Linked DNA regions of Lonchura striata. The protein of the gene in region 1 interacts with the protein of each later gene in a pairwise test. Links are inferred from orthologs where the notes say so. Each region holds a gene or a part of one and is shown in the gene's direction. Other genes may lie near its edges.

Region 1 (8,012 bases):
CATTGTATTTTAAGGACCTTGGATGGGACTTCCTCCTCTTTTCCCCATGGTGTCAGGCTTTGCTGTCCAAGTAGACCCACAGGATGAGCTATTTATTCACTTCCAGATATTTTTAAGCAGCAGTTATAGACCTAAAAATTCTACAAACAATTATTAACATAACCCCTGCTTTTGTTGCCTATTTCAACTGAATTGCTTTCCACCTAAGAAGTGAAGACTGCAACCCTTTCTCATTCAGCTTCTGTTCCCAAGAGTGATGTTTATTCTGTGCTGCCTCATCAACTTGCCTACTTTGTGCATATTAAAAATACAGCCTTAGCTCTCAGAGTGACTACTAGCTTTTGGATGACAGGTCTGGAGTATCCAGCCTGAACAGACTGTCCAAAGTAATGCTTTGCTGCAAGGCTGTTATAATCTTATGCACAGTTGGAGTCAAAGTCTTCTACTATGGGAAATGATAATGGTCCTCATATGCAGAGTGTGCCCACATACCTTAGGAAAGAGCATGCATGAATACAGTTCTGTGCCAAAACAAGCCATGGTGGTTACCCTCTTACCCACTCATAACCACGATATTACTCATTATTATCCCTTAAAACTACATCTAGGAAAGTCCATTTTTAAAGACTGCAAATCTCCTGTTACTTCCAGCCTTGCCCAGCACAGGCTTCCTCCTCCCCCTTTCTCTTCTTGACCCACTTACACTTTGCCCCTTTCCATACCACTTGTCCTCCTCTGTGGTGTGTCTCTTTTCTTACTACCCCCTCCTTTCCTCTCCCTCAGGACCTTTGTTCTTACCCATTTCTTTGGGCCTATCATCCATTCCAGACCACACATCCCTGTTGTGTCTTCATACCTCTTGTCTCTGGGGCCACTTCCTCCTTGCTTCCTTCAACTCATTTAAGATCTGCCATTGCTCCAAGCTCTCCTCTAATGTCCAACTCACATGTCCAAGCTTCTAACTTCAGCCTTCTTCTGGTTCAGGAGTCCTCATCAATATTCCTAATTTTCATTGGACTCATGCTTGCAAATTACTTTTTCTGTTTTTACAACTCATTATTCTGGTCCAATGCTCCCCAAACCCTTAATATGTAACATGGCTCTGGATTCATTCCTGAACTGACAAACCCATAACTTCCCTATCTGCCTTTGAATTTCTTTAGGATGAAGACCAACTCCGGAAAGCTCTGTAGTCTTGCAACTTTGTGAAAGCAGGAATTTTCAAAGGCTTCATCAATAGCTTCAGAAACAAGTTCTCCCAGGTTGCACTACACCTACATCCAAAGCAGGTTGGGCTGAAATGTCTTTGGAAAATACTGCAGTTCCTTTCAAGTACTCATGCTCAAGTGTTCTTCCCAGAAAAAAAAAAAGGCTGTTTCCTACCCAAGTCTCACTGTGGTAGGGAGTTAGGATCCAGTCAGGCAGGCACACAGATCTGAAAACTAGGAGGTATTACTGGCTCTCCAGTTTAGCATGACATTTGTATCAACTTTGATAAATATTCCAGGATGAGTGGCAGAAACAGTTGATTCCATTGATAATAAGTCAAGTTGTGGACATCAGTGTGGACATCAAATTCTCTGGACAGGGAGACAGTACTATTGAGAGGATTCAGCATGGACTGCAATATGCTCGCTTCAATTGGTAAATAACCACATATACATTCTCTCTTCATTCTCAACTTCTTAAAGCTTTAAGACTTCCATTTTCCTGGCTTAGAGCTTTACATAATATTACAATATATTTTTTTTCCCCAGTGATTGCCCTCAAACCCTCTTTCCTGTCCTCCAGGTTGGGGAAGAATCACATGACAGACTGATAACCGTCACTGGTGAGAAAGGTCACACAATGAGCTGCACAGGTTATTAGAAGTGTGATAAAAAGTCCCATACAGGCTATTTTTGATTAATAAGGCCATCTTTAAGGCATGTTAATCATAGAAATCAAGATCCTGGAAATGTCAAATTTTTTGGTAAAATGTAAATATGGATTCTCTTTTTCTCGGTTTATGTAGATACTTCCTGAGGAGCCATTAGATCACACAAACCCAATATGCAAACTGAATGGATAATGTACATTACTTTACTCTCATCCCCTTAAATGGTACTCAAGATTTGGATTTTGGAAGCCATGTAGATGGATGTTCATGCACATGCCCTTATAAAAATAATCAGTATTTGGCTACAGCACAAACACCTATTCAACGAGTTACAAGAATACTCAGAGAGAGATCAAATTTAGCTACTCCAAAATCTGTCATTAAACATACTGCCAAAATCATATTAAATGCCATACTTACATATAGAAAACAAGTGTTTGAAATTCTCTGCCTTTGGAATGCAGATGGAATTCTAGTATTAAATAAAATGGCAACAGAACTAATGTTTAAAGAGCATATGTGAATAATGTTTAATCTATTTTTATCCAATAAATTTTTATTGACAAAATAATGGGTTTATTATACATCATGAGCTGACACACTATGATTAGGGCAAGGATCGAAGAAGAGACAGAGAACAGAAGGTACCTTTATTAATTTCATATGTCCTTTTATTTTAATCAAAGTGTTATCAATTTGATTCATAAGGCAGCTATGTGCTGTTTCAAATCCTTGGTTTCAGTTACAGCTTCCAATATACATCCTTCATGGAGGTTTTTTTTCTGTAAGGGGCTACCCTCTTATAGTCACACATATGAATATGTTTCCCTTTAAGATTTTCAGAGGAAAGGGACAAAGTCTTTCAAGCATAAATAAAATAATGGCAGATAACTAGTTCAGTTGTACTCTTAGAAATGTATCTTCTTAGCAGGGTATGTTATACCATCCCCCAAAACATCAATATCATCTGGAGAATAATCAGTACAGGTCAAGCATCCTAAAGAGTTTGAAAGTACACCAAATTGCACCATTCTTTGAGTATCTTCTGCAGAGCCCAGCTAATTTAATGCTACAATAGAATAATCTAGTTCTTTGGCAACTGTTTGACTTAAAACATTTCAACAACATTGAACATTGGGAACATTGGGAAATAATTTTAAAAAAAGCGCTGAATGACTTCTGTTACAGTTTATTCTTTGTTTCTAACACATAAATTTCCTCAAGTAAGAGCTCACTGGTGGAAAGTAAGAATTTTCTCATCCACTATTTTTTGCATCTGTGTTTTAGAAGAGTTAAAATACATGTTATCACTAATTATTACAATTAGGTTAATACTGTTTTCTGTAATTAATTTCTAATGAACATATGTTTATTGATGAAAACTGCATCCTATATGCAATGCCATTTGAGCTGAAGGGGTGTTTTATCATCATTGCTCATAATAAAACAACTATAATGTATTTTGCTTAGGCACCAATTCTGTAAATACTTAATTATGAGCCCCTTTTTACTGCTGTGAAAAAAAATCATTTAAATAGACAGAAACTGTCAAGATAGTAGGGCAAAAGCCTGATTGTCTGAACTGTTTGAACATGGGCATAGTTTAAGGGAGCGGAGTTGTCAAGCTCGGTTCTTAAATATTTTAATACACGTTCTGAAAGTAAATTCTCTACTGAGCAGAAGCTGAGGCTAGGAAGTCTTATCAGAGATGGAGCATCTCTATCTTGTGTCCAGTGCAACGCTGTCCCCATCATGGGGATCAGAGGGTAATACAGTATGCATCCATAATACCTAAAAAGGTTGTACTTAGTCTTGTCATTTGTATTTATTTCTATTGATATTCAGCTAATACCTATTACTGGCTGACTATTAGTATTTATCATTATTTCTGTTCTAGTAATTTTGGCCAAAGTTGGAAGTGTAGTTTTAGAAGGGAGCATATATAAAAGCAAGACAAAGCATGGTCATTGATCACTACTGGGATTAACAAAAGATGTATTGAGATTTGAGAGTTATTTTAAGAGATATATAATAATATGCCAAACTATCAAAAATTCAGAATTTACTTTGTCAGTTTTTGTCTTCAGGACAGAAGTACTTTAGGGAGATGCTGTGTGGTCTGAAAAAAAATTTAGGATTAGTATAATGAAGATTGTGTTCTGTGTTCTTTTATACTTTGCCTCAAACTGCATACATAGATGTATATACAGTTTTAAAAGTATCATATTTACATCTGATCACAATCCTCCATCCTCCCTCTTTCCCAGTACACTTAGGCCTCATACAGGTCTGTGCTGTGTAATGTTCTTCTCCAAACAGTTATCCTTGCAGGTGAAGTTCATCCTGGGCATTCCCATGAAGCAACAAGGGCCATCAGTTTTCACTGTTTTCTGAACGAGGGACAGAAAATAAATGAAGATGTTATTTGTCTTTAGGAATACAGGGCACCGATGGAGAGTATTCAAGAAGGTGGCACATCTGAGACTAGTTTTATTTGGTGAGCTGGCTAGGTTGTAAACCAGATGAGGCCCATCACAAGGAATGTGTCCATACCGCAGGCACCCCATATTTCGGGAGCGCAGGAGGAGCCTGGCTCCGCGCTGCCTGGCTTCTGACCATCTCCTCGAGGATGCCCTCGCCGGCCGCGGCGGAGGGCAGCCCCTCTCCCGCAGGACCCGCTCTTTCCTTACTGGTGCCCAGCTGTTCTGCCTCTGCCCCAGGTCTGTTCTGCGCAGAGGAGCCACAGACAGGCTTTCCCCGGTTCCCCGGCGCCCACCACCCAACCTTAGCAGGACCTGGCAGGACCCCCGAGGACCGGACCTCCCCCTCCCCGAAAAGTGCAAGGCGTTATTTTTGAAAGCGCCCAAAATAGCGCGCGACTGCTGCACAAGTCTCCTTATTATTCCTCCAGCGTCGGCAGTAAATCAGGGGGAGGATGCACCTCCGCCGGAGCCCTCGTCGGCAGCCGCGTTTTCGGCGAGGGCGATGCCCGCCGCCGCTGGCGGCTGCCGGGTGCCGGCCGCGGGCGGCCGGGGCGCAGCGGCAGCGCAGGCGAGGGAGGAAGAGGAGCCGCGGCGGCGGCGGCGGCGGCAGTTTCCCCTTTCCCCAGCCCTGGCTCCGCGGGCGCATGCTCACTGTGCCCGCAGCCCTGGACCATATTTGTCAGGACTACTCGAGAGACGGAGAAAGAGAGAATTTGGGGGGGTAAGGAGCGGCGGGTTCCGATCTGATCCGCAAGCCGTTTAGGGAGCCGCGATGGCAAAGGCTGGTGACGGGTTTTAATTTTCCCCCTAGGTGAGGATGAAAGTTAGAGAGAGCCTGAGAGATAAAGGGAGAGACGCACCTCCTCTCCCTCCCTTACGAAACGTATCTGGGGAAGGGGAGGGGGGCTTCTCCCCGACCACCTCGAGCAGAAAGGATGGAAGTTAATGCCGGGTAAAGTGGGCAAGTGACTCGCAAGTGGCTGGGGAGCGGCCGGGGCACCGGGGATCTCACTAAATCATAAGTGTACGAGTGTGAAAGAGGAACAAAAGAAAGAGAGAGGTGCCTGGTATTTCTTTTTCTCTTCCCAAACACATGAAGGGAGTACATGTATATATATATGCGCTGTATATTTATATACATACACAGGCACGCACGCACGTATGTGTATGTACATATATATATACACGGGGGAGGGAGCTGTGGAAATGTGTTTGTGGGGGCCCTTCTTTTTTTTTTTGGGGGGGGGGGAGTGGGTTCCAAAGGGAGGGGGAAGGGAAGGGGAGAGACATTTTGCAGACTTGCCCCACCAATGAGCTTGTCAGTTGGCTGCATTTAATGACACTTACGGGGCACCGCCGTGCTGTTGGGAACAATGTGATGCGGGTGCCGCGGCCGGGCGGCGGGGGGAGAAGGTGGGGGGGCACGGGTGTGCATGTGAGCGCCGGGCGGGGAGGGAGCGGAGCGGAGGGAGGGGGCTCGCTGCCACCCGAGCCCCCCCTCCGCAGCCCCGGCTCTTTGTTCGCACAGGCTGAAGGACGGGGAGAAGTGCGGGCTGCGAGGGGGCAATGCGCAGCGGAGAGGGGTGCGAAAAAGGGTTTTTTGGTCGGAAGCGGCGAGAGGTGGCGGCTGCCGGGATATACCGGTTGAATGTGCCGTGGGTCCCCGTGTGCGAAGGCCTCTACCAGCGCGCAGCAGAGAGTTTGTATTTTCCGTCGCTCCTGCACTTTGTGTGATTGTGTGCGAGAGATATTTAAAATATAACCATCTCCCAATTTCCGCCATTTTGGGGAAAGTTTGCACACACATACACATACAAAAAAAAAAAAAAAAAAAAAGGCAAGCTTGTAGCAATTTTTTTTTTTTTTTAAGAGACGAAAAAAAAAGTCTTTTGCTCGAGTGCTCAGTTCCTGCCTCTGTGCGGTGCGTGCGCCGCGCTCGCTGCGGCAGACATGTGAGGCGGCGGGGGAACGGCCCCTGCCCGCTTCGGGCTGCGTGCGGCGGCGGGGGCCGGCGCCTGTCACCGCCGCCGGCTCCGCGGGCCGGCCTCGAGGGGCTGCCGGGGGCTGGCCCCGGGGTGCCGGCGGTGTGAGTGAGCGCACATACACGTGAGTGCGTATTTTGCCGACGACGGGGGCAGGGAGCGGGGGGGGCAGGCAGGGGCAAGGAATAGGACGCGGCTTTTCTGTTAAGTTGCGCGCTCTCGCCTGAAGTGCGGCCGGGGTGGGGGAGCGGCCCCCCGCGCACACGCCCGTCTCTCCCTCCCCGTCTCCGCAGCCGGTGCATATAACAACAGGATATAGGCACACTTGTTCTCGCTAGCGCGTGTGGGGCGGTGTTTTTTCGGTGGGGGGGGGGGGGGGGGCGGAAAGCGATTTTTTTTTTCGGAGGGGGGGAGGGAGCGGCGGCCGACGGGAAGGCGCTCCCGCGGAGCGGCCGCCCGCCCCCGGCCGGGGCTTCGGAGAGGCTGCCGGGGCTAGAGCGCCCGGGGCGGGGGGCGCCGCGTCGGGGCCGCAGCGGCGCTCGCTCCCCACCCCCTTGGTTTTCCCCCCTCCCCGTCGGAGCGGGCGCACGCGAGAGCGTGAGAGAAAAAGTTGCAGCGCGGGGCCGGGCGCTGGCGGCTGCGGGGCCGGGCGGGGGCGAGCCCTCCGGGGAGGCGGCGTGTGCCGGCCCCTCCCGCGGGAAGGGGTGACTTCTCTGCCGAGGGATGCCCGGACATCGCCTGCGAGCGGCCGAGTAGCGAGTCCCCGCAGCCCCCTAGAAAAAAGAGAGCTCGCCCCCCTCCTCCTCCTCCTTTTCCTCCGCGCTGGGGGAGGGGAGGAGGGAGGAGAAGGTAACATTTTTTAAAATTTTTTTTCCTTTCACTCGGAGGCAACCTCCTTTTCCCGGATCCCGGTCCCGGGGGGTGGAGGCGAAAGGGGGGGGGGGGCGGGAAGGAAAAAAAAAAAAAGCGAGGGACCCGGTAAACAAGCAGAGTCCCTCTCTCGTTGTGCAACTTCCTCAGGAACACTTAACACCCAGTTCCTCTCCCACCCCCGCCCGCACCTCGCTCGCCCCCACCGCCGCCCCCTCGCCGGGGCAGGGGGGCACTCTTCCCCCGCTCGGTTTAATTGCCCGGGGCGGGGGCGAAGGATAAAAAGGCAAATTCGGGAGGGAAACGGAGACACTCGAGAACCGCTTTCCCCGAGCGCTCCTCCCGAGGAGCGGGGCGGGCGCTTTTGTCTCGGCGGTTCTGCCCGAGCCTGGGGAAGACGCGGACCTGAGCCCGGGTTTTCTCCAGAAAGTTTCAAGTGCAGCAAAAACACGCCGCAAAACTGGCCAAGGAGGGACCTCTGCTGGTAGGCCGCGGGCTGCCGGCGCGGGGAGCGGCGGCCGCGCCCGCCGGGCCTCGCCGCAGCGTTCCGGCCGCCGCCGCGCTCCGCCGCGCCGGGCGGGGAGCGGCGCGGGCGGCTCCGGGCGGGCGCTGCCGGGACCGCCGGGGCACGGCCTGCGCGGGAGCGGCGCGGGGCGCGCTCTGCGGCCGTGCCGCTTGTCCCGTTCCGGAGCGCGGCTCGAGCCCCCGGGGTTTTTCGGCTTGAGGAGCGGTGCGCGCGTTGCGAGGCCCCTGGAGATGCGGCAGCTTCCCCCGGGGCGTGAGGGTCACGGCCTCTTC
Region 2 (7,418 bases), on another chromosome or scaffold:
CAGGAATGACACTCTTTTATTTGTCTTTGACTAATCATCAATCAGTCATTTAGATTTTTTTGCATTAACCAGTGATTATCACACTCTTGTTCTCCCATGCTTTTTCCCTATTTAAATATTTGAAATGGCTAATCTACCTCAGTTTAGTCTTTGAAGCACTTGCTCACCAGTTATTTGTTCACCATGATTTATCTTGTGCAATATAGGCACACTGAATGTGAGACCTCTGTTCAGACAGAACAGCAGCAGTAGGAAAGAGTTCAGAAGAACGTGCCCAGAATGTTCCTTCTGGAAGGAAGGCTGAGCTCAGAAGGTGCAGCACTCTCCTACAGCATGCTGAAAAATGCATTCAGTAACTTTTCTAGATACACCTCTTTTTTCCCCACATTAATTTCATACATTTTATTCTAATATTACACCCCTCTCTGCAATGAACACCTGCACCTTATCACAGGCCTGACATTTTATATTCTCTTACCTCAGCTTTTCCTCACCTTCACCTTTTGTATTTCAACTCATCCTGTTTGCATTACTGGGGAACACTACTCAGAGATAAGGGCTGCAGCATGTCAGGGCTCCTGCTTCTTCCTCAGTGTGTGCTCGCCCATCCTGCTCCTCAGGAGAGCTCAGACTTCTGAGCTTCCCCTGGTGTGAGTCCCTGCACTGGGCACATCTTGGGTGCAACCTGGAGACTCATCACGACCAGCTCAGAAATTATTGATCATTATTGGTTATTCAAGACTGAATTCCAACTCTACAGCACTGTACTCATGTGACCCAGGAGCAGGGCTGAGGTGTGAGCAGGGAAGGGTGCAGCAAACACCAAGACAAACTTGTAACTTTAGAATCTGCAAATGTGAGAGGTTTTGTCATCCTTGCACAGAAGAGCTTTTGTAAGGATCACCGAGATTCGTGAGCTGGGACGTGGCCCTGTGGTGAGGCACATGAGGCTGTGAGTCAGGAGCTCTGGGGGATGTTCCTCAGCTCCCAGCTGATTCACTCTGAGCCAGAGCCATTTGCTACTGAAGACAAGAGTAAATCCCCCACTGTTCTGTGTCGGTGACCAAGCACCGTGTGACCAAATGAAACTCTCCAAGAGAGGAACTCCCTGTGAGACGGGTACAAGCCTTCACAGTTATTAGAATTTATGCTGCACTTCAGGATCCTGAGGATAAAGTGCTGCACACAAGCAAAGCACAGCAATGCCTCTGTGAAAAACAAAAGCATGTTGATTGAGCATTGCTTTATGCAAAAAGCAGAGGAGCAAGCAAAGGTTGCTTTCAGGAATACTTTCATCACTTGGACAAACATTTTGCAGCCAGGCTTCCAGAGCCACTCAAGTGGGTAATTCCTGCACGAGGGTTGAGAGATGCCCTAAGGCACAAGCAGCCTCTGAAACAGGCTTGCTGGGCAGCAGCTTTAAGGCATGTGGACCAGTGAGAATTTGGAAAGTGGCACTCTGAAGTTCCACCCTGTACTGACAGAGCTGAGCATGGATGTAATTTCTGCACTGTCAGACTTGGAACAACTCATTTCTAAAGCAGGCAGAGGAAGCTGGTAGGGCTTCAGAGACACAAATCAATCATGGCAATTCACACATTTCTGAAGAGGCTGATAATCAGAATCCCTGAGAGCCAGGCCAGACAAACATTCATCCCCCCACACTCTTGCTCAGGACAGAGGTCACTCATCCCTACAGGTAACCTGGATGATGAACACAAGTTGTCTTATTCCTTTATTAGGTCACAGTATGCCAAGCTCAATTCAATAAAATCTCCGTTGCTAAAAGCTGTCTTATGCACTGATTAAATGCCCTATGTAGCAAATTAGTTAAAATCACTGTCTATCCTATGATCACAGTGGGTTCCTAGCATCCCAAACTGAATCTAAATATTGAGTTTTATTCAAAAGAATTTTATCAAATGTCTGGGTTGTTTTTTCTTCTTTTCCAAACATGCACTAAACATACACTGAGCTGAGAATTTAACAGATGTTTTTGTTACTGTTATAATCTAATCTTTTCCTGTAGGCTGTTGTAGTAATCTTGCCACTAGAAGATAATAAAAAAACATTTTCTCCCCTGCAGAGCTTACCTTTGGCTGACTCAGCTCAGCAGCTGCAGTTTCCTTTACTTGCTTTGAAATTATTGCATCCCAATTGGGCAAGATATTTCTGCTACTGAGAAACAAGTGGCTTTGGAGAAAATGCCAGAGGCAATCAGATAAAGTCTCTTTACCTTGCTCTAGTTGCATTAAAAGCTGGTAATTTGGGCTGCAGCTTTTTCAAGTGGTCCCACAAATGTTTGGTTTTAGAGCCAGGAAAAACAGAGCTCCTGAGCCTGCCTATCAAATAACTCTTAAGATTACTGTTGAAACTCCCAGTTTGTATCTCAGTAAGGAATTCAAACAAGTACGTAATAGCTTCCAAAACAAACAAACAAAATACCAACAGAAAGCTCTCAGTTGTGACTGCTCAATACTGACTTAAACCCAAAGTGTATCTTGGGGCTTCTCTTCCCTGATGCAACAGTTGTCTGAGCACACCTCCACTTCTGATTGAAGAGGAACAAAGGAAAAAACCTTCAAATCCCAGGTGGTTTGGCCAATCCAGTGCTGCGTTTGGCTGATGTGTTGTCCAGGTGAGCATACTGAAAAACAACAAGAAAAAGAAATTAAAGGGTTATATCTCAGTAATAGAGACTATGAGTAGCATAACATAAGAGCAAATTCAGAATAATTTTAGCATACAGGAGAAAAAAAAACAGTTTCAGAATAATAATATATGGCTGGTTAGATCTGAATTAGTCTGACAGCTAAAACAAACTCTGGCATATTTAGTTCAGTGCTTTGTCTATTTATAGTTTAGAGATATTTACAGTTAGCTCTTGTTTAAAAAGCCCCAGCATTCTGTAGAGAATTAATTTATAAGCTGGGCAGATCTCCTCAGAGTTAGCAGACTGGTCCCAAGGCAGCCAGGACACAGCTGGTACTCCAGCTCAACACAAACCAGCTCCCAGGTGTGAAAACCAGCCTGCGAAGGCAGACCATGCTCCTTCCACCAACAGACCACTCCGCCCCACAGAAAAGGGAGGAGGACTGAAAAGACCCCACAATAAAGCCCTGAGATATATATATATATCACTATATATATATATATATATCACTATATATATATATATCACTATATATATATATATACACATATATATATATATATATATATATATACACATATATATATATCTCACTATATTTTTATATATCACTACATATATATATATCACTATATATGCAGTGATAACCTGAATCTGTTCTCTGTTCAGCCCAGCAGCCTCCCCTCTGTGCTGAGCTTTCTCCCAGGTTTTCAGGGGTTTGGCAGTGACCCGATGGCCACCTCTGTAACCCTCCCTTGTACACTGCTAGGCAGCCACATACTGCACTGAACTTAGTCCATGTCCTCATTTATTTGCTCATCTGACACAAACACAAAGTGTAAAGAAAAAAGGTCTTGTGGAAACTCCCATGACTGCCAAGCACTTTAGCTCTAAAGTGCACCATGAGCGTCCCAGCCCACATTATTATTACCAAAGAAAATGAAAACCTGGGAAAAAAAAATATTTATAATACCTTGACAGGGCCATCACTTCCCATTAAAAATAGAAAAGCTATTACAGAAAGTGAGCAAGCACCTGAATTATAGATCAGCACAGGCCTGGGGTTGTGTGACTGCACCTGGCAAGGGCCAGAGCTCGGCTCCCCTGCAGCACCTTCAGCAGTGCTGAGGGACACTCCCAGCCTCTGCCCAGCGACCCCAGCACCCTCCGGCACTGTCTTGCGGGGGGGGGGTGAGCGGGTGGGAGAGAGGAATGCAAAAGATTTCCCTGACACGCCAATTTCAGTGTTAATAGCTTGTTCTCTACACAAACGTCTGTAAGAATAATCACAAAAGTGGTTAGAAGATGTGATCCAAAGCTTGGGAGGAGGTCTGGTTTCTGTTTTGGACCAGTGTAATGTCTCTATTTATATCCCTCTTAAGTGTAAACACTGGGGGTATTTTATCACTGAAACAATCTTTATACAATGTCATCCATGTGCACCATTGTACTCGATGGAATATACTGTGATTAGGGGGTGACAAAACTTGAAACTCAAAACTGCCAGCAAACTAAATGCACTGAGTTACGCCGGGGCGGCCAAGCGGAGAGCGTGCAGGAGGGCGGTGGATGTCGGCAGGGCACACGCGGCTACGGGACACGCGCAGCGCCCCGGGCGCAGACACGGAGCCGACTCTGCCCCGTCTCGGGCGCCCCGGGCGCGCAGCCCCGCCCGGCCCCGGGGCGCGCAGCCCCGCCCGGCCCCGGGGCGCCATTGGCCGCGGCGGCGGTGGGCGGGAGCGGCGGCGGGGCCGGCCCTGCCGCGGGCGGGCGGAGCCGCCCGGCGCGGCGCGGAGCGCGGCCGGGCCCGGCCGGCAGGTACGGGGCGAGCGGGGCTGCGGCGGGGGCGGCGGGGAGAGCCGGGGCTCCGCTGCCGGAGCGGGGACAGGGGCGGTCTGGGGCTCCGCTCCGCCCGCCGTGGGACACAGCGGCGGCGGGGGGCCGTGCCGGGAGCCCGCGGTGTGCGCTGCTGGAACCGGGGATCCCGAGGTGTGTGCTTCTCGAACCGGGGATCCCGCGGTGTGCGCTGCTGGAACCCGGGATCCCGAGGTGTGCGCTGCTGAAACCGGGGATCCCGAGGTGTGCGCTGCTGGAACCGGGGATCCCGCAGTGTGCGCTGCTGGAAACGGGGATCCCGCGGTGTGCGCTGCTGGAACCGGGGATCCCGAGGTGTGTGCTTCTCGAACCGGGGATCCCGCGGTGTGCGCTGCTGGAACCGGGGATCCCGCGGTGTGCGCTGCTGGAACCGGGGATCCCGAGGTGTGTGCTTCTCGAACCGGGGATCCCGAGGTGTGTGCTTCTCGAACCGGGGATCCCGAGGTGTGTGCTGCTGGAACCGGGGTCCCGCGGTGTGCGCTGCTGGAACCGGGGATCCCGAGGTGTGCGCTTCTCGAACCGGGGATCCCGCGGTGTGCGCTGCTGGAACCGGGGATCCCGAGGTGTGCGCTGCTGGAACCGGGGATCCCGAGGTGTGCGCTTCTCGAACCGGGGATCCCGCGGTGTGCGCTGCTGGAACCGGGGATCCCGAGGTGTGCGCTGCCCGTCCGGGGTCCCGCGGTGTGCGCTGCTGGAACCGGGGATCCCGAGGTGTGCGCTGCTGGAACCGGGGATCCCGAGGTGTGTGCTGCTGGAACCGGGGATCCCGAGGTGTGTGCTGCTGGAACCGGGGTCCCGAGGTGTGCGCTGCTGGAACCGGGGATCCCGCGGTGTGCGCTTCTCGAACCGGGGATCCCGAGGTGTGCGCTGCTGGAACCGGGGATCCCGCGGTGTACGCTGCTGGAACCGGGGATCCCGAGGTGTGCGCTGCTGGAACCGGGGATCCCGCGGTGTGCGCTGCTGGAACCGGGGATCCCGTCATGCGTGTGCGGAGCCTGAGGCCCGAACGCCGCTCCAGAGGAGCGGGCGTGTTGGGGTTTTTAGACGGGACTCTTTAAGTTGCCAACTTTGCCCAAGAGCCCGGGCACTGCTCCCGCTGCGGAGCTGTAAGCGGGACCCGCTTGGGCCCTGCGCCTGTTCCAGAGGGAAACGTGAGCTCCCGGGCGCTGGCAGGGACAGGGAATTGTCTCCTCCCTCGGTGGTTCTCCCCTCGGCAGCCGGCCCGTGTCTGTCGCCGTCACGCGGATCAGTGCCTCGGGATAAGTGCGGGGACAGAGACGGGGGGGAACGGACGGGTAAGGCTCTGCCTTGAGTTTCGTGGTTTTCCCCCTTCCTCCCTCCATTCCTTCCCTTCTTCGGCTGCTTGGGCGCCTCTGAGCCTGGCTGGCACTTACAAGAGCCACAACTGAGCTCAGGCTGCCAACAGCTGGGTTCGGTAGCATCAGTCTGAGCTCCTCCAAAGCCGCTGCCCGGCCCCTTGCTGTGGCTCTACACTGAGCAGCAGTGGCGAGAAGCTTGGCAGCTCAGTCAGTCCATGTCCCACTGGAACTGGTGACATTCTTAATGGAGTGATATGACCCTAAATGTCCATGTGCTGAATTGGGTTCCTCGTAAGCATGGCAGGAAGGGGGTTTACCAGAGCCTGTCCTCCTTACCCCAGCACTTACAACATGCCGGGAAAGAGGGAGAAGCAAGCTGAAATACCTTCAGGCAGGAAAAGGAGAGGAACCTTTTTCTTCTTGCTCTAAATGCCTGCTCGGGCAGCTGCATCCTACTTGCTGTCCTCGGTGAGCAAGAGCTTATGCCAGCCCTAACTCCAGGAGTTCAGGGAAAGCTGTAGAGAGGTGGGGCTCGGGGCATTTTCTGCTGGCAGCCCTCAGCAGTCAGATCTCAGTGGAATGGACTATCCCACGTGTGGAATGCATGAGGTGTGCAGTGGATACCAAGGCTGTCAGTTCTGCCTGATGGCAGGAATGGAAGGATCAGGTAGAAGAGCTCGCTGCTTCGGTACACCTAAGCCTTAGATACATACAGACTTGAAAAACATACCCCAGACTTGCTGACCCGTGAGCTTAAGTTGAAATGCTGTGCCTGGCAGGCACCAACATGGCTGTTTATAATCACAAGTGAACAAGCGCTCATTGTTAAGTGTTGTGGCGTGCTTACTTCTGGAGTGGAGTGCCAAGCTGTATTTTTTTTTCCTTTGAACATCAGTCATATTCACTGCATAGTATTTGATCACATGCAGAACCAGCAGAACTTGATGAAAAAAACAACCCCAGAATTTGCCATGCCAGAAACTTCTGTGAAAATCAGCAATGCCAGAAAAACACATCTTGCCACCTTAATTTCAGCTGGGTAAGCTGCTGCTGCTGCATGTGGTACATGGGCATATGTAGCACTTGCTAATAAGCACTGTGACCCTGCTGCCTGATATAGCAAACTTGAGCAAACATGAAAAAACATTTACCAAAATTAATAAAATAGATTAGACTTCATATCCTCACTTTGTTCCAAAGGGAGAGGCTCTCATCTCCCAGGAAAGCAGACCATAGTAGCACTCAGCAGCTATCTTTATTTACCAGATTTACAAAGTGCTTGCATTCCAGAGCCAAACTGTGGATTATTTGCAGTGAGTCACAGTATTAACATGAAATTGGGTTTTATGTTGTCAGTCAAGCTGAGCACTGTGTGGAACTTGGGGCAGGACGGATCTGGCTTGTGGTGGGATGTGAGGAGTCAGCCCCTCTGATGGCTGTTTCAGCCCCCATCTGAACAGGGAGCACACAGAAGCATAGAGTGAGTTGTCCTAGCCTAAAGGTAAGCACTGTAAGTCCCACTCCTACTATTTTTTTTTAATTATGTGTATGTGTTCTTCTCCAGTCACTTA
Region 3 (7,868 bases), on another chromosome or scaffold:
CTCCATCCTGAAATGGCTCTGCCACAATGGGATCTCATTACCACAACCTTTCCGCTGGCAAAGCCATCCGTTAGTGCCAGAAGTGTTCCAACAACTGAGGTAAAAGAAAAATACGATTTTCATTCACTGGTTTAGTAAATTTTCTTCAGTTCCACATAACCATTTCCACCAATCCCTCAAAAAGGACAAGCTTTTAATGAAAAGATGCTGATTTGCAAAAGCCTCATTTTAAGACATTAAATACAGATAATACAATACAGAGCTTAGGCTGATTTCAAGCTTAGTGAATTGTTTTAAATTCTCATTTAAAAATAATCTGAAATTCACTAGCACTGAATTACTACTTCTCAGGTTCAACGAAGGTGTCACAGCAAGTTAAGTAGGTTGTGGTCTTCTTTTCACAAAGATCAAGCACCTTCCTGATGACGTGTCTTGGGACATGTCTTGATGACAAGACATTAACCACCTATGAACCTGGTTTTGTTTGCTGGTGTGTATGGGAGCAAGAACATTGATCTCATTCAGGAACTGAAGGTCACATCTGGTAGGCCTACAAAGAAAACAGGAACACTGATATCAGGAAAACAGCACTGTTTGTAAGGGAAAATACATGAAAAACATGGTTACAAGACCACTGGAACTGGTTAGTTTGGAGTTTTTTTGAGGGGGATGGTGGTGCTTTGCAAAATATTCTTGTTTGCATTATTAATATTTCCCAATACATCCCAAGATTTCCAGACCCCCAAGACCCCACTGGAAAAGGAAACACCGACAGTCCCATTTCAGTGGAAGGACCTGACAAAACATGAAAAAGAATTTCTTCTTGACCACAGAAAATTAGTTACAACTCAGACAGAACATGTGGCATGTTTCAATCTTACTTACTCAAATAATGAATGAAACTTTCATTCACATTCTCCTACCCATTCACTCAGGCAGTTGACACCATTTCTCATAAAAAAGATTACTCCCCTGTTACCCTGGCTACATTCATTAGCAGCTGCACAAGCTACCAGAGTCTTTCCAGTCCCTGGTGTACCATAGAATAGGAAGTCTCTGCAATTAAAAAAAAAAAAATCACACAAGAAAAAATCTTAATGGAAAAGTGTCTATTATAACCCCCATCCCTAAAGAACACAGCTCTCCTTAGCAAAACACTTCATGGATAACAAACACAGCAGTAACAGCTAAAGTGTGAGAAAAGTCAAAAAGGGCTCCTACACAATTCAACAAGGCAGCAAATGAAATTAATAAAGAGGATAATGTACAAAACATTGAGAAGAGATAGTAACATCCCAGAAGGACACATCCAAAAGCTGTGACATACCAAGAGGGGTGGGTACAACACAGTGGAGCCAAACAAACTTCCAGTGCAGAAGCTGAGACCAGGATAACTTAGAAATCACCTGTTCTGCATATTCATTCTCGTTTTCACAAAAGGCAAGATTTGAGAATAAAGCATTTAATTGTCCCTTAAATAGCTTTAAATTTCTGGGTTTGGTCTCCCTTTGCAGGTACTAAAGAAGTAACCTAAAGCTGGGAAGGTATTCTGCATTACCATCTACTAGAAAAACCAAGATGCTGCTGCTTCAAAATATATTTCATTTCATAAAGAAGCAAAAGACAAAGATTTTCTTTTCATTGTTTGTAATACTTTCTGAAGTTACTGAAAGCAAAGCATTTAAAGTCCCATTTGAATATAACATGACTGAATTTTGCTGACCAAAAATATATAATGTTAATGAAATCTCTAGGAATTTCATTTTGTAACACAGAACTCGGCTGTTACTCCTCTGTAAGAAGTGGACAGATTCTTATTTTAGCTCAAGCACAACAAAGACTGCAAGGTTCTAATTGCAAGTTCTGTCAATTTTTAAACTGATTCTTGAGCATTTGAAAAAAAAAAACAAAACAGTTTGTGGGAGAGACAAGTGGGCTTCCATGAAGCAAATTACAGTTGACTACCAGTAGGTAATTCATTGTACATGAAACTCTAAAGGAAAAAAAATCTCCAACTGCAGCTTTTAAAGGCAAGCCACTTTTAAAGAATAATCTCACTTGACAGTAAATCTCTGAACCTACATATATGCTGGTTTTCATCATTTCTTAAAATACTGCTTTTTAATTTTCTTAAAACTATGTTTTACTACTGCTAAAAAAACCCCCATTCAACAGTGCTGAAAATTTTGGAGCATTTTTGTATATTAAACAAAGCTACAACCTCAATAATGTTCCATCAGAATTTCAATGTCAGCACAAAGGAAAGGTTCACAGCAATTTTCAAATTGCTTGAGAGAAACCTGTAAGCCAAGGGAGTTGTAGATAGTCCATTATTGGAAGCTTTCATAAATAGTGTAAATGTCTCACTGATATGTTGAAGTAAAAATCTTACTGAAACAACTATTTGCATTAGCTCAACATCAGACAGATTTACTTCAATTTTCATGTGATCCCTGTGAAGATTTGAAGTGAAAATGCAAGCTGTGTGCAAACAGTGTCCATTCAAAAATCATAAGGCAATTGAGGAAGCACAGTATAAGACAAGTGCTGCAGCGTATCACTGCTATTTCATATTTTCTGAAGAAGGTATTTCCTCCACACTTAAAGCACAGCTCTGGCATAACTGACAGTAAGATTATAATTAGAGAGCAGAAATAAATGTCATTTTAGACAAGCTATGCTTTGGAATAAGTTTTTTTTCAGCTAAATTAAAATTACAAATAATCACTCTATGTGAAATAGTAAAATACATTAGTGTCTATTTCTTCCAGTAGAACACCCCATGATCTCCCATCCTTTTCCTTCCATGCATCTTCTCTATGCAGTTAGTTTTTTGCAAGATTGCTTCTGCAGTACTAAGATACAAATTTGACATGTAAGAGCAAAGATAGATAAATACAAAAAACTCTATTGAAACTGACACACATGATCTGTAATGACATTTTGATATAGTGAACACACAGCAAGAATTACTGGCATTTAGCCAAGTTTTTCAAAACTACTTAAAAATTAGGTCAAGTGTTTACTTTTTTTATACATACTTAGGAAGAAGTGTTTGCGGATTTGCAAACGGACCGTTTTCATATTTATTTTCCCCTCTTGCTAAACAGAGTAAAAAAAGAATTCTGAAGATATAGGAAGTTAACAGAAAAAAATTATGGCAGGCTTTCACAGCACTAAAATTGCTTTGCATGATAACATTTTGTTTCCAGCTTTCCTCAGACAACAGGTTACTTATTCTCTTAACCGGAGTTAAGGTCTTGTGCTGATTTTCCATTACTATACATGGTAGAAAGAGCATCTCACTGCTGTTACACTTTGTAAACCTTTCAGAAAACAATGTCAGTTTGCACTTCAGGAAGAGAATTAAAACACAGATACGCAGACAGAAACACTAGGACTGCTTCACTTTGCCTGTATCCAACTTTCTGCTGCATCTTAATTCAACTGGGTGTTATAAAATTATTTGTAAGCATGAAAGAAAAGTTAATTACCCACAAAGCTGCTTCTGATGCCAAGAAAATTGATTTAGATGATAAGTTAAATCTACAGAAGTTTACAACACAAAGAGAAAGGTTCACAGCAATTTTCTTTTTGGTTCACAAGAACCAGGCCAGCCCATACATAAAAGATCCTCTGGTGTGAAGATCTCTCTGCAACTGACAACAGTTGAAAATGAAGACACTTGTGGCCAATTTATATATTGGCTGTGCCCGAATTCTTTACATATGAAGCACTGGCCTAATACACCCTGCTGCATGCAATCTGAGATTTGTGGCTTAAGCCACAAGCACCTGTTTCCAAAAAACTCATGTTAAACGGCTTGGCCCACACCTTATATAAATCAGTGCATTAAGAGTAATTACATGACAGCTCAGGCTGACGCACTGGATGGATTTGAGGGAAAACTGGAAGACTAGATTGTCATGCTGTAGGGTGCTCAGAGCTCCATGTCCTGCTCCTTGCTCCCTTTCTGTGTGCCTCTTCTGCAGCAGGAGAAATGCAGCTCAGTGATGTGGCTCTTGCCTGTGTCCCTGTCTGAGCTGGGGAAGAAAATTCAGCTGAAAGTTCAGCAGTTTCATGATTTCTACTGGAAAGCCCCACTACCTATTTTTAATCTGCAGAAAAGCCAGACATGGTATTGCTCAATAATGTGAAATTTGAAAAATGAAACTGCCATATAGCATGTAAGTGAAATTTTCTTGGGGAGAAAAAAAAAAAAAAAAAAAAAAGGCAGCCCATTGGGCCATTTTCCAGTGCAGACTTTAGTATCAGAGCAACACCATCGAAGTTAATGGTGCTGTACCCTTTTATCTCCTCTTGCTCCACTCTCTTCAGAACCTTCCCAGCCACCCTTCCCCTCTGACAGCATCCATCATCGGCTGGAAATCCTGGAGGACCAGGTGAGCTGCCGAGCAGCCGGCTAGATTTGAAAAATACTGCTCTGGATGACTCAATGTGTACACACAAAAAACTCTGACACAGAAGGTGGAAGGGGCTCCTTGTGTTGACAGCGTTTCTGGTGGAAACTCTTCTAGGCTGACGAACAACTCCTCAGACTGAAACATGTCACTAATTCCCTTCCATGTGCTGCGTAGAGAGAAGTGCTTAAAAACGTGCCCATCCTGAATTACCTCTGGGCGAGCTTACTTAGAGCCACGGGCGCGCACACAGACCCGCGATCGCCCACAAAGAACGTCTCTCAAACATCCGCAGGAGGTCGGTGGGGAGCCGGCAGCCTCCCGCTCCCACGAGGCGCCGCCCGCGGGCCGGGCCGGGCCGGGCCGCTCCGCCCTCCCGCCCAGGGCGCTCCGCGGGCCGGGCCGGGCCGCTCTTCCTTCCCGCCCAAGATGGCGGCGGCCCCGCCCCGCCGGGCGGTGTCCCGGAGCCCGTCCCACGGCGTGGGGTGTATGACCGCGCCGTGCGGCGGGGAGGGCAGGCGGCGGCCGGAGCGGGGTGTGCCGGGTGAGCAGCGCTGTCCGGCCGCGTTCTGGGCGCTCGGGGATGGCTTGGGTCGGGGCCGGCCGGGCAGCGAGAGGGAAACTTTCCTCGCGGAGCCCTCCTCCGCCGGGACTCCGGCCGCTCTCTCGCGGCCATGTTGGGAGCCGGGGGCTGCCCGGGAGGAAGGAGCGCCCCGGCGGGAGGCGGCGCTGGGCTCCGCTGTCCCGCCCGGGGCTGGGGCAGCGCCGCGTCCCGCCGGCAGGGAGGCAGGCGGCGGGGCGGGCAGGACCCGGGGAGGGAAGCGTCGGCCGCGGGCGCTAGCTTGTCCCAGGGCACTGAGAGAGTTGGGGGCTCTCGGCAACGAGTTCGTCTTCGGGAAAGGGGAGAAACAACAACGGCGGCGGCCCCGCGGCGTTACGTAAGTGCCCGAAACTCCTGGACTCGTGACTCCGCCGGGGCGCCGTGAGGCGGCGGGACGGGCGGGCGGGCGGAGGGCGCTTCCTGCCCCGGCGGGCTGGGGCCGCGCTGCCCCGAGCCTTGGCGGCCCGGGGGGCTCCGTGTCGCTCTCGGAGCGGGGCGCCTGAAAAGTGTTGGCACTGTTGTGAAAAAACAGCGGAACCGCGAGCCGTGCGGCTGCGAGCATAAGGTGCTATTTGTTTTCCTCTATGAAATTCACCTATTTTGAGGGGAGTGTAACAGGTCTGCCAGAGATACGTATGGCCCGTAAACTGTTTTCTGAAAGTAGCTCGAGAAAAGACAGCCGCATGTTTTTCCTCTCGCCTCATTCGAAATACTTTGTTCATAGGCACTCATGTTTATAAATGGCAAAACTGCTCATCGCGGCGAGAAAGCGATGGGTGATTCTGCTGAGCAGCACGTCCTGGCATCGGCTTTGTCCCTACTGAGGGAAATAGCTGTAACTCGAGTTTTGACATAAAGCATCAGTGCAATGGTTGTTGATAGCCAAGAGGACCTTTTATATCCTTAACCAGAGATCAGGAATCGTCTTTTGGCTGAATTGATGCAAATGGTTCCAGAAGCATCATTAAGTTCTAATTCAGGCTGTCCTCAGGCTGTGCTAAGAGTTTCTGAAAGGGTTGATGCTTATTTGAGAAACACTATATCTGAAGCTTCAATGTGCCTAACAGCTTAAGGTCAGATGAGGTTAATACAGTAGGCAAAGTGACTCTAAAAGCAGACCCACAACACAGGAATCTTTCAGAACCGAGACTGCAAATTCCTCTTTCTCTCATGAAATAAGGAGAACTTAAATATCCAGATCTTAAGTTCTGATACTTGTCTATTGAATTATTTTAGGGATGCCTGTCTGAAAGAAGGGAAGTATTTAAAAGACAGCAGTGTAATCGGTGCTGAGATCCTGCAGATTAATTGCTTTGTGTGCCGTCATCAGCATGCAGAATGGAATTGGTTCTTTAGCTCAGAAGGCAGTGCTCTTGCTTTTAGCCTCTAATCTAAAAACTGTTGACTAATCCCAATGGGTAATAGGAATCCCAGTGTTGTAAAATGTCTTTTATATTAGCTCAGTTTCTTAAATAATACTTTTCCAAGTGTTTTAGTGCCACCAATTTTGTTGAAAACAACAGTGAAAGTGAAGTGTTGTATGCCTGAGTCCCAAATTCTTCCTTCTGAATGCAAATCAGCTGTGTGCCGTTTGATGTGTCTGAGTTTTGCTCTACATACAAGCCCACATAGAGGAAGTTCCTTAAACACTAAATAAAAACTGTTATGTAGAAATTTTTAGCTGGAGAAGCTGGTTCAGTTTCCACCGTTGTATTCTGTAGAAAGAGAATACCATCTTTTCACCTGAAAAGCAAGCTTTCATTAGATGCAGTGATGAAATATTTTTTCAGTAAGAGCTTTGTTCTGTTACCCTTAAGTCAAGGGATGAGCTTTAACCATAGTAAATAGACATGTCCCCAGAGTGACAGATCTATCCATAGTATCTTAAAGCGCTTTGGTTTACAAAAATTATCATTGGTAAAATATTTGCTCTACTCAAAAGGTATGGTGACTTTTAAGTTTCACTATTGTGCTTAGTGGATGCAGGATAGTTTCAGAGCAGTAAAGAGATGGAACTGCAATTTCACGTGAGGCATGATATGACAGAGCATTGCCAAAAGCCCCATGAGAGCCGTTATGGCAGAATACGAACACTGGTGTCATACACTTACAGCATTTTTAGTGGCTTGTCTTCGCCAAAGAGGGCTAGAGGTGTTTAAGTGAAAGCTTAGGGTCAAGGCATGGCACATAGATAAGGCAGAGTTGAATTTTTTAGTACTTGCAGACCTCATTTTCTGAAAATGTATGTTAGATAAAATGTTGGAAGTTGTGTCCTAGCAGACTAATGGCATGCCAGTTTTTGCGCTTATTAATGGGCGATGTCAAATAAGGAAATCTCAGTACTAACAAATAATATGATTCTTAGAAGATGGTAGGTAAAAATAAAAAATTTTTGATTTTTGTACTAGGAAATGAAACCTTGTTTTGTACAGCTTCAAATCGTAAAGGCGCTTTTGTGACTTATTTCAAGCTGTGTTAATATTCAAGCTTACTTTTTTCCATTTAATTTTTTTTTAAGTTACAGATCATGCTTATATATGTATATTTTACTACTTTCCTGACTTAATTCAGTATTTAGATGAAAGTATGATATTCCAAAAGAGAGTACTTACAGGCAAATGTGGATTTCTGAAATAGAAAAATGTATTAAAAACTTTCTCCCTAATGCAGCAAGTGCCAAGTTTGGTGTTGTAGGATAATTTTTCATGATTCATTGGAGGACTTGTTTTTATAGTTGAGGGGGATGAAAAAGTACTCTATAGATAGGTGTGGTAGAATATGTTTACTAAAGATTGCTTTATTGTTGTTGTGAACTGTAAGATATGATTACATTAGCAAGTAGAGTC
Region 4 (7,346 bases), on another chromosome or scaffold:
AGGAAATCAGCAGTGATGAAGAGATAGCACCAAACAGAGGAGGAGACCAAGAGAAAGGGGAAAGTTTCCAAGGCCAGGGAGGACAGAGCAAGGCAGAGCCCCAGCAAGGCTGAGTCAAGCTCATTGATGGGCAGCCAAGCAGACAGATTCCAGGAAGACCAAAACTTGCACAAACTCAAGGCAAGAAGGGCTGGCTCCATCTGAGGAGGTGGGTGGGGAACGCTTAACTAAGACATTCCTTCATGATTAGGTTTGGAACTATAAGGGGGCTGAGTTCAGTGAGTTTCAGGAACTCTTTTCAAATCTAGGGAATTCTTTTCTTGTGTATATAATTTGATCAGTTCAACAGGAAGTGCCCACAGGAAATTCAAGGACTTTGGAGATTTGGAAGAGATTGGGAAATTAAATCAGAATACGTCTGAGCTGCTGGATGCAGGGAATTGATGGAAATCTGGCTGCCAAGAGTTACCACCATTATTAAACTTAACAAGGGAATTTCTCTCCTCTTTTCTGAGGAGAAGGAAGCAAAAGCTTTCAAATCTGATCCCACCTTTCAAAGGCCACTGTGATCCCAGGAGAGGGAGTCAGCACACCTTTCACAGGTGGTGTGTCAGATAACTTTAACAGAAAGGCATCAAGGCCTGGAGGGTTCCTGGTGATCTCATCCCCTGGCAGGCAAGACACAAGGTTAAAGATGAATCTAAAATTCTCTTTCACTGTGACAATGCCTCTTCTCCACCTTCAACACCAGTTGGTGAGGGCTGAAGTTGTGAAACTTGGATCTCTTAGGTTACTGCTGGGAATGATTAAATTATTCACAGGGTGACAAAGCGGACCTGAGCCCACCCCAAACAGAAGAAAACTCTCAGTCTCCAAGTTAACATTTCCCCTGTGCAGGGTGATGATCAGGACACTTCTCCCTCTCCATCACACGTGCCCATGACTCAAACAGCAGGAGTGAGCTCAGGGTGCTCAGTGGCAGGAAGGCAGAGGGATGAATCACCCTGGAACACAATCCACTCCCACAGCAACTCCTGCCAGACCTGAGGCTGGACTCAGAGCTCAGGTTCAATATCTTGGGTTTAAATTAGAGCAAGTCATCACAGGAGATGCTGTGATACAGAGATCATTTTGTGAATTTCTGGAAAAAAACCTGTCAGAACGTTCATTTACAAAAACCACCAGCGTTTTTGTGTTTCAGCAGCACTTGGTCAAACACAGTGGAAAACCAGGATGAGAGCTGACCACCAACTGCCCTTCAGCAGGACACTGGGGCAGGAACTGAAGCTGAAGACACTCACCCCAGCAGCAGCTCATCAGGGACTGCAACAGAAAGAAAAGGAAATGTGATTTTGCAGAATTTCGCATCACAGGGGGGTTATTGTCCCCCTCAAGGTATCCCCAGAAGCCACACAGGACTGCAGAGATCTCAACATCCTCTCTAGCCACCAAAAAAGCAATAAGGAGCAGCAAAATGATCCATGATGGCAGTGCTAAGGCACTTATCAAGCACAGCAATCACAACCACAGGGATTCATTTTAAAAAGAAATGCAGAAGCCCAAATGGATTTTCTTTTATGACATCTTACTTTTAAAAGCACCCAATAAAAGGCAGGAGTCCTCAGCCTGGTTAAAAAATATATATATATTATTTTCCCTGAAACTCTCCTGGCATGAGTTGAGAACTCAGGCATTACAACTTTAAAAAAATGTTGTTCTTTTCCCAGCACACTCTTGCAGGGCGCCACTGGTTTATGAGCCCACTGAAACATTTTGTCTTCATTTATTGTCTCCTTAAGATGGAAAGTTACACTCAAGCAAATTGTGTTTGTTGGACAGCTCAGGCTCTGCCTGTCCACTCTGATCTTTCTGTTATCACCCAGGGGACACAGTGTACTCTGTCTCCATATCCCACTGGAAGATCTGGATTTTTGACTTTAAAATAATTTTCTTCTGACAATTCAAAATACTCTCTATGACCTGCAGTGTTGGTTTGATTTTTCCAGCTTTATTTGAATTTAATTCTGCAAAGGGATCAATCAGTTTGTCTCCACAGCTCTGTCTCTACATGTGCTTTAGTACCACTCTGCTGCTGTAAAAAGGACGTCTTTAAAGGGATGTAAACTTTTTTTTTTTGCTTAGTTTACAACAGGATTTATAAAGCTCTTTTAAAAGTCACATGTAGATTTTGGATCTACTCTAACCTGACAGAAGTCACAGTGCAAGTGTGCCAAAAAGCTGTCACTGGGGTCACTCTGACAGTTTAGACATGAATTTTCTGCCCATTCCTCACTCCCACGTAGTGCTCAAGACAGATTTATCTGAATTCTTATTTGTTTGGGTTTTGCAGTTAAAAATATTCCTTCAGCAGACCCTTACTTTGTGAAGAGCCATTCTGTGCAACTCATCCAGTAAACACAAACACAGATCCAGCAAAGGTAATTATTCCTAACTAGCTGCTGGAACTGGCCAGGGTTTCGGCGCTGGCTGGGGTTCCTTTCACTGAAGCACTGGGAAATTGTTCCTCGCCCTGGGATCAGCAGCACGCCCCCTCTGCCGGTCAGTCAGGACACGGCTTGGGGAAATTCCCCTTTCCAACCCCAATTTTGGGATTGGTGAGTCTGTAGAACCGGCAGTGCAGAGGGCACAGCAGAATTCTTGCCCGGAGGCATTAATTTATCATCTCTTAAGTGTGACCATGTGCACCAGGAGCTCTAAGAAGCAGCAGTCTCCTCATAAATCTCACAAAGAGTCTCCCAACTGGTGTGATTTTTGAATTGGACTTGAGGAGGGGCTGCTCCTCATTATCTGTGCTTCACAGCTGTCTGTTGTCACAAAAAAGGGACATAAAGGTCCAGACAACAGGGTCTGGTAGGAGAGGGGAGGCCAAGGCCCCTGCACACTCGCTGGGGGTGTGCCAGGCCACTCCTGCGGGGCTCCTTCACGTACCCTGTGAGGTCTCCTGAAAAGCCTTTTTGATCTCTCTCAAGAGCTCTTCTGCCACAGCTGGCAAGGTGCTCCTGTCCATCCCACCGGCACGGGCTCATCCCTGGAAACGAGACAGGACAGGAGACAGAGGGAAATCTTCAGGGTCACCATGGATACTGAGCATCGGGGGGGATTATCTGGGCACCCCATCCCCACCAAGGAATGACATACTTTAAAATGTTTTAAAACAACTTCTAAGGTTTCTTTGTTTTTGTTTTTTTCCCCACACGTTCAGGAGGGGATTCCCCACCGACACACGGGTGTCTCTGAGATGCACCACAGCAGCAGAGCTCCCGTGGGTGTTCCTCACTCAGGGGCACTGCCTGGCCCGGTGCTGCTGCGGAGCGGGAAGAGCCGGGACAGAGCCGGGGCAGAGCCGGGACAGAGCCGGGGACAGAGCCCGGGGCAGAGCCGGGACAGAGCCCGGGACAGAGCCGGGACAGAGCCGGGGCAGAGCCCGGGACAGAGCCCGGGGCAGAGCCGGGGGCAGAGCCGGGACAGAGCCGAGACAGAGCCCGGGGCAGAGCCGGGGCAGAGCCCGGTGCAGAGCCGGGACAGAGCCCGGGACAGAGCCGGGACAGAGCCGGGGCAGAGCCGGGACAGAGCCCGGGGCAGAGCCGGGCCAGAGCCCGGGACAGAGCCGGGCCAGAGCCCGGGCCAGAGCCCGGGACAGAGCCGGGACAGAGCCCGGGGCAGAGCCCGGGGCAGAGCCGGGGCAGGGCCCGGGGCAGAGCCCGGGACAGAGCCGGGACAGAGCCCGGGGCAGAGCCGGGACAGAGCCCGGGGCAGAGCCGGGACAGAGCCCGGGACAGAGCCCGGGGCAGAGCCGGGACAGAGCCGGGACAGAGCCCGGGGCAGAGCCGGGACAGAGCCGGGACAGAGCCGGGACAGAGCCGGGGCAGAGCCCGGGGCAGAGCCCGGGGCAGAGCCGGGGCAGGGCCCGGGGCAGAGCCGGGACAGAGCCGGGACAGAGCCGGGACAGAGCCGGGGCAGAGCCGGGACAGAGCCCGGGGCAGAGCCCGGGGCAGAGCCGGGACAGAGCCGGGGCAGGGCCCGGGGCAGAGCCGGGGCAGGGCCCGGGACAGAGCCGGGACAGAGCCCGGGGCAGAGCCGGGGCAGGGCCCGGTGCAGCCCCTCAGGCGTTCCCACACGGGTGGGATCCCCAGCGCTTCCCGGGAGCTGCTCCTTCCTCAGCTGCTCACCAGGGCGGGCAGAGCGGCGGGACCCGCTCGCTGCCGGCTCCCGGTGCCGGTGCCGTTCCCAGTGCCGTTCCCGTTCCCGCGCCCGGCCCCACACCGGGAGTGACGTCACGCCCCCGCCCCGTGCCCGGCGCTGACGTCACGCGCGCTCTTAAAGGGCCCGCTGGGGATGGCGGCGGCGGCGCTGCCGCGGGCGCTGTCCCGGCTGTGCCCCCGGCGCTGCCCCGCCTTGCCCCGGCCCGCCTGGACGGGGGGACACCGGGGACACCGCGGGGACAGCGGCAGCGCGGGGTGGGCGCGCTGGGCACGGCCGGCCGGCGCCGCGCTGGCCTTCCTGGGAGGTGAGAGGGGCGGCGGGCACGGGCACCGCGCCGCCGGCGCCGGGCACTCACCGCGCTGTCCCCGCAGGCTTCTCCCCGTTCCCGCGGGACGCCGAGGAGGACGGCGAGGACGCCATCGTGCTGCTGCTGAAGAGAGCCAAGGTGAGGCGGTGCGGGCGGTGCGGGCGGTGCGGGCGGTGCGGGCGCCCGGGTGACCGGCGGTGACCGGCGGTGACCGCGCCCGCTGTCCCCGCAGCTCAGCGCCATCAACGGGGAGCTGGCCCAGGCCGAGCAGCTCCTGCACCAAGCCCTGCGCCGGGCGCACCAGCAGGAGAACCGGCAGGCCGTCATCTACACCTACAGCATGGTGAGAGCCGGCCTTGCTGCTGCTGAGGCGCGGCCGCATCGCCTCGCCGGAGCTTGAGCGCTCTGTGTCTCTTCCAGATGGGGAACGTGGCATACATGCAGGGACAGCTGGACAATGTGAGTAACTCTGGGTTTTCCCTCTGAATTTTTAGAAGTTGACGTGTTGTGCACGGTCTCAGGTATGGGGTGCTTGCACACACAAGCTGCAGGCTCAGAGCTGTGGGGCAGAGATGTCCCAGTGCACAGCAGAATGATCCAACTCGGGATTGCAGTCCCATGAACACACCAGGTGCTCTCACAGTTAAAGGAGGGAATACTTCTTACTGTGAAAAGCTGCAGTTGAGCACAGAGATGCTCCAAGGAGAATCTGGGAAAGCCCTGAGCTCACAGAGTAAAGGTCTGGCTGCTGCTGCAGTGCTCCTGCAGAAACTGAAAGGACTCACTGGTTCAATACCAGTGGGCTCTGGTCAGCCTTTCACCTCTAACTGCTCTTGCTGAGTGTAAACACAACAAATTTGAGCCAGTTCCCTCTGTGTAATTTGCCTCTGTTTTGTTTTAAATGCCATAATTTCTCAGTATCCCCTTCAAAATTCTTGTTTCAGGCAGAAAAGCTCTACAAAGCAACTATGAGCTATATGCTTGCAGGGGACACAAAGGAGGTATGTTCTGAGACAGGTTTCCAGTGGGGCCCTTCTCTTTACCTTATTTCTTGTGCTGTAATGCCTCTTACTGGAAATTTGGAATACTGTAAAGGATGGCAGCACTGGAGGCAACAAGATGGGGATCTTTAATGTCTAAACTCTCTGAAAAAGTAGTCTTTTTGTTGGGAAGGTACAAGAAGAGTAACAGTTACGTTGTGTGTCCTCCTGGCAGGATGACAACGCCATCCTTGAGATATCCCTCAAGCTGGCCAGTATCTATGCTGCTCAGAAACAGTGAGTTCCCAGCTAGAGGTGGCACTTGCTTTCATCTCAGCTTTGCCATGCTGGTGAGGTGGTCAAGCAGAGGATCTTTAATGAGGGATCCTTCAGGGACAGAAGGAGCTTTGCTTTGCACTTTACAGGCACAAATTAGCTGTAGCTGGCTACCAGTTCTGCATCTTGACCTTAGAGGAGAAGATTGCCAAGCAGAAGGACTTGCCTGAGGATGTCTTATCAGGTGGGCAGCCTTGTCTGCCAAAGGCTTCTCATCTTTTTTCCATTTCCCTGTCCTTGATGTTGTTTCTGAGTGCCATCTTCATGTCAATCCATTGTCTTCCCACTGCCTGAGTTTCTGCTGTGGTAGGATGGGGGTTCATGCTGAATCCTGTGGCAGTGATCACTTCACTCCTCTCTGTTTGCAGCTGAAGAAAAGGCCAACACGCAGCTCCTGCTTGGGATGAGCCTGGACTCCTACGGCCGCTACCTCCTGAACATCAACGAGCTCCCAGCAGCACAAAAGATGTATGAGAAGGCTCTGCAGATATCAAATGATGTTCAGGGAGAGACTCATCCACAGGTGATTTGGAGTAGTAGGACTCCAGGGAAGGAAAGGCTGATCTGTAGGGAATGAGGTAGCCTTGGAGCAGCTCTGCTGCCATCAAACATGGCCAGGAAGGACGAGCATGCAAATACAGAAATACAGGCTACTTCCTTACTGAAAGCTTCTTTGGGAAATACTTCTTTAACTGGTGTGGCAGGGAATGAATGTGTGCTTCTGCTGCCCCAGACTGCTCCACAGGCTTCCCTTTTCCCTCCTGGTGCAGAGTGTGGTGCTGATGAATGACCTGGCGACGGTGCTGGACGCTCAGGGACGCTACGAGGAGGCGCACACCTACAGCAGGAGGGCAGCAGAGCTGGCAAGGGACACAAAGCACCCCGAGGAGCACATGGTGCTCAGTAACCTGGCAGCAATCCTGATGCACAAAGGTCAGTGAATACATGCCCAGCCACTGAGCTTGTGCTGAGTGCAGGGATCTGGATCTGTGTTGTAGGGGTGAGCTGCAGTGCTGGTTTGGGGTTATTAGTTTTAGTTTAGGCAGTAGATGTGACTTTGAATTGGTTTCACAAACTGAGCCAAATGGTTTCCAGGGGATCTTGTTTCCCATGTCCTTAGTCCCCAGTAACTTTTCCAAAAGGACAGAAGACATGTGTGAGATTTGTTTCTGTGAGATTTTAATGCTGAAGCAGCACCAGGTCACATCATCACTGCTGCTCTCCAGCTCTCAAAACCTGGCAGGATGTTTTCTGAGCTTCCCTAGATCTTGATGTGTTCCAAGTAGTCCTTGTCCTTTGCATGTGATCAGCATCAGGAGGAGGCTCTGAAAATGGGTGATGGAAGTGGGTAACCAAGCCTTTTTTCTCTCTTGCTACAGAAGATTTCTTGCAAGCAAAACAAATGTACAAAGAAGCCCTCAAGCAGGCACAGCAGAAGGGAGATGCTGCTTCTGTACAGCATATCCAGGAGGAACTAGCTGAGCTGGCCAAGAGGAGAA

Evidence for each region.
Region 2: the proteins of L3MBTL3 (region 1) and pleckstrin homology domain-containing family F member 1 interact in binary tests that used the Homo sapiens proteins (3 or more experiments, as listed by UniProt). The two-hybrid records come from large-scale screens. The link is inferred for Lonchura striata from reciprocal best matches to the Homo sapiens genes L3MBTL3 and PLEKHF1.
Region 3: the proteins of L3MBTL3 (region 1) and PLEKHF2 interact in binary tests that used the Homo sapiens proteins (3 or more experiments, as listed by UniProt). The two-hybrid records come from large-scale screens. The link is inferred for Lonchura striata from reciprocal best matches to the Homo sapiens genes L3MBTL3 and PLEKHF2.
Region 4: the proteins of L3MBTL3 (region 1) and TTC19 interact in binary tests that used the Homo sapiens proteins (3 or more experiments, as listed by UniProt). The two-hybrid records come from large-scale screens. The link is inferred for Lonchura striata from reciprocal best matches to the Homo sapiens genes L3MBTL3 and TTC19.

The regions. Positions count from the first base shown.
Region 1 is NC_134605.1:60,466,989-60,475,000, reverse strand, and holds the start of L3MBTL3 (lethal(3)malignant brain tumor-like protein 3), read left to right. Parts: upstream 1-5,006; coding exon 5,007-5,083; intron 5,084-5,288; exon of another isoform or gene 5,289-5,297; coding exon of another isoform or gene 5,298-5,314; intron 5,315-5,352; exon of another isoform or gene 5,353-5,422; intron 5,423-6,385; exon of another isoform or gene 6,386-6,468; intron 6,469-8,012. UniProt on the Homo sapiens protein: Is a negative regulator of Notch target genes expression, required for RBPJ-mediated transcriptional repression. It recruits KDM1A to Notch-responsive elements and promotes KDM1A-mediated H3K4me demethylation.
Region 2 is NC_134615.1:9,366,049-9,373,466, reverse strand, and holds the start of pleckstrin homology domain-containing family F member 1, read left to right. Parts: upstream 1-4,408; 5' UTR 4,409-4,471; intron 4,472-5,360; exon of another isoform or gene 5,361-5,823; intron 5,824-7,203; 5' UTR 7,204-7,348; intron 7,349-7,418. UniProt on the Homo sapiens protein: May induce apoptosis through the lysosomal-mitochondrial pathway. Translocates to the lysosome initiating the permeabilization of lysosomal membrane (LMP) and resulting in the release of CTSD and CTSL to the cytoplasm.
Region 3 is NC_134603.1:23,857,403-23,865,270, reverse strand, and holds the start of PLEKHF2 (pleckstrin homology domain-containing family F member 2), read left to right. Parts: upstream 1-4,852; 5' UTR 4,853-4,965; intron 4,966-5,179; exon of another isoform or gene 5,180-5,359; intron 5,360-7,868. UniProt on the Homo sapiens protein: May play a role in early endosome fusion upstream of RAB5, hence regulating receptor trafficking and fluid-phase transport. Enhances cellular sensitivity to TNF-induced apoptosis.
Region 4 is NC_134622.1:8,221,836-8,229,181, forward strand, and holds the start of TTC19 (tetratricopeptide repeat protein 19, mitochondrial), read left to right. Parts: upstream 1-4,337; 5' UTR 4,338-4,356; coding exon 4,357-4,528; intron 4,529-4,595; coding exon 4,596-4,669; intron 4,670-4,763; coding exon 4,764-4,874; intron 4,875-4,951; coding exon 4,952-4,990; intron 4,991-5,475; coding exon 5,476-5,532; intron 5,533-5,746; coding exon 5,747-5,808; intron 5,809-5,936; coding exon 5,937-6,031; intron 6,032-6,215; coding exon 6,216-6,370; intron 6,371-6,617; coding exon 6,618-6,780; intron 6,781-7,226; coding exon 7,227-7,346. Other genes in the region: ZSWIM7 (zinc finger SWIM domain-containing protein 7), read right to left, coding at 1,302-1,323, 2,950-3,028. UniProt on the Homo sapiens protein: Required for the preservation of the structural and functional integrity of mitochondrial respiratory complex III by allowing the physiological turnover of the Rieske protein UQCRFS1.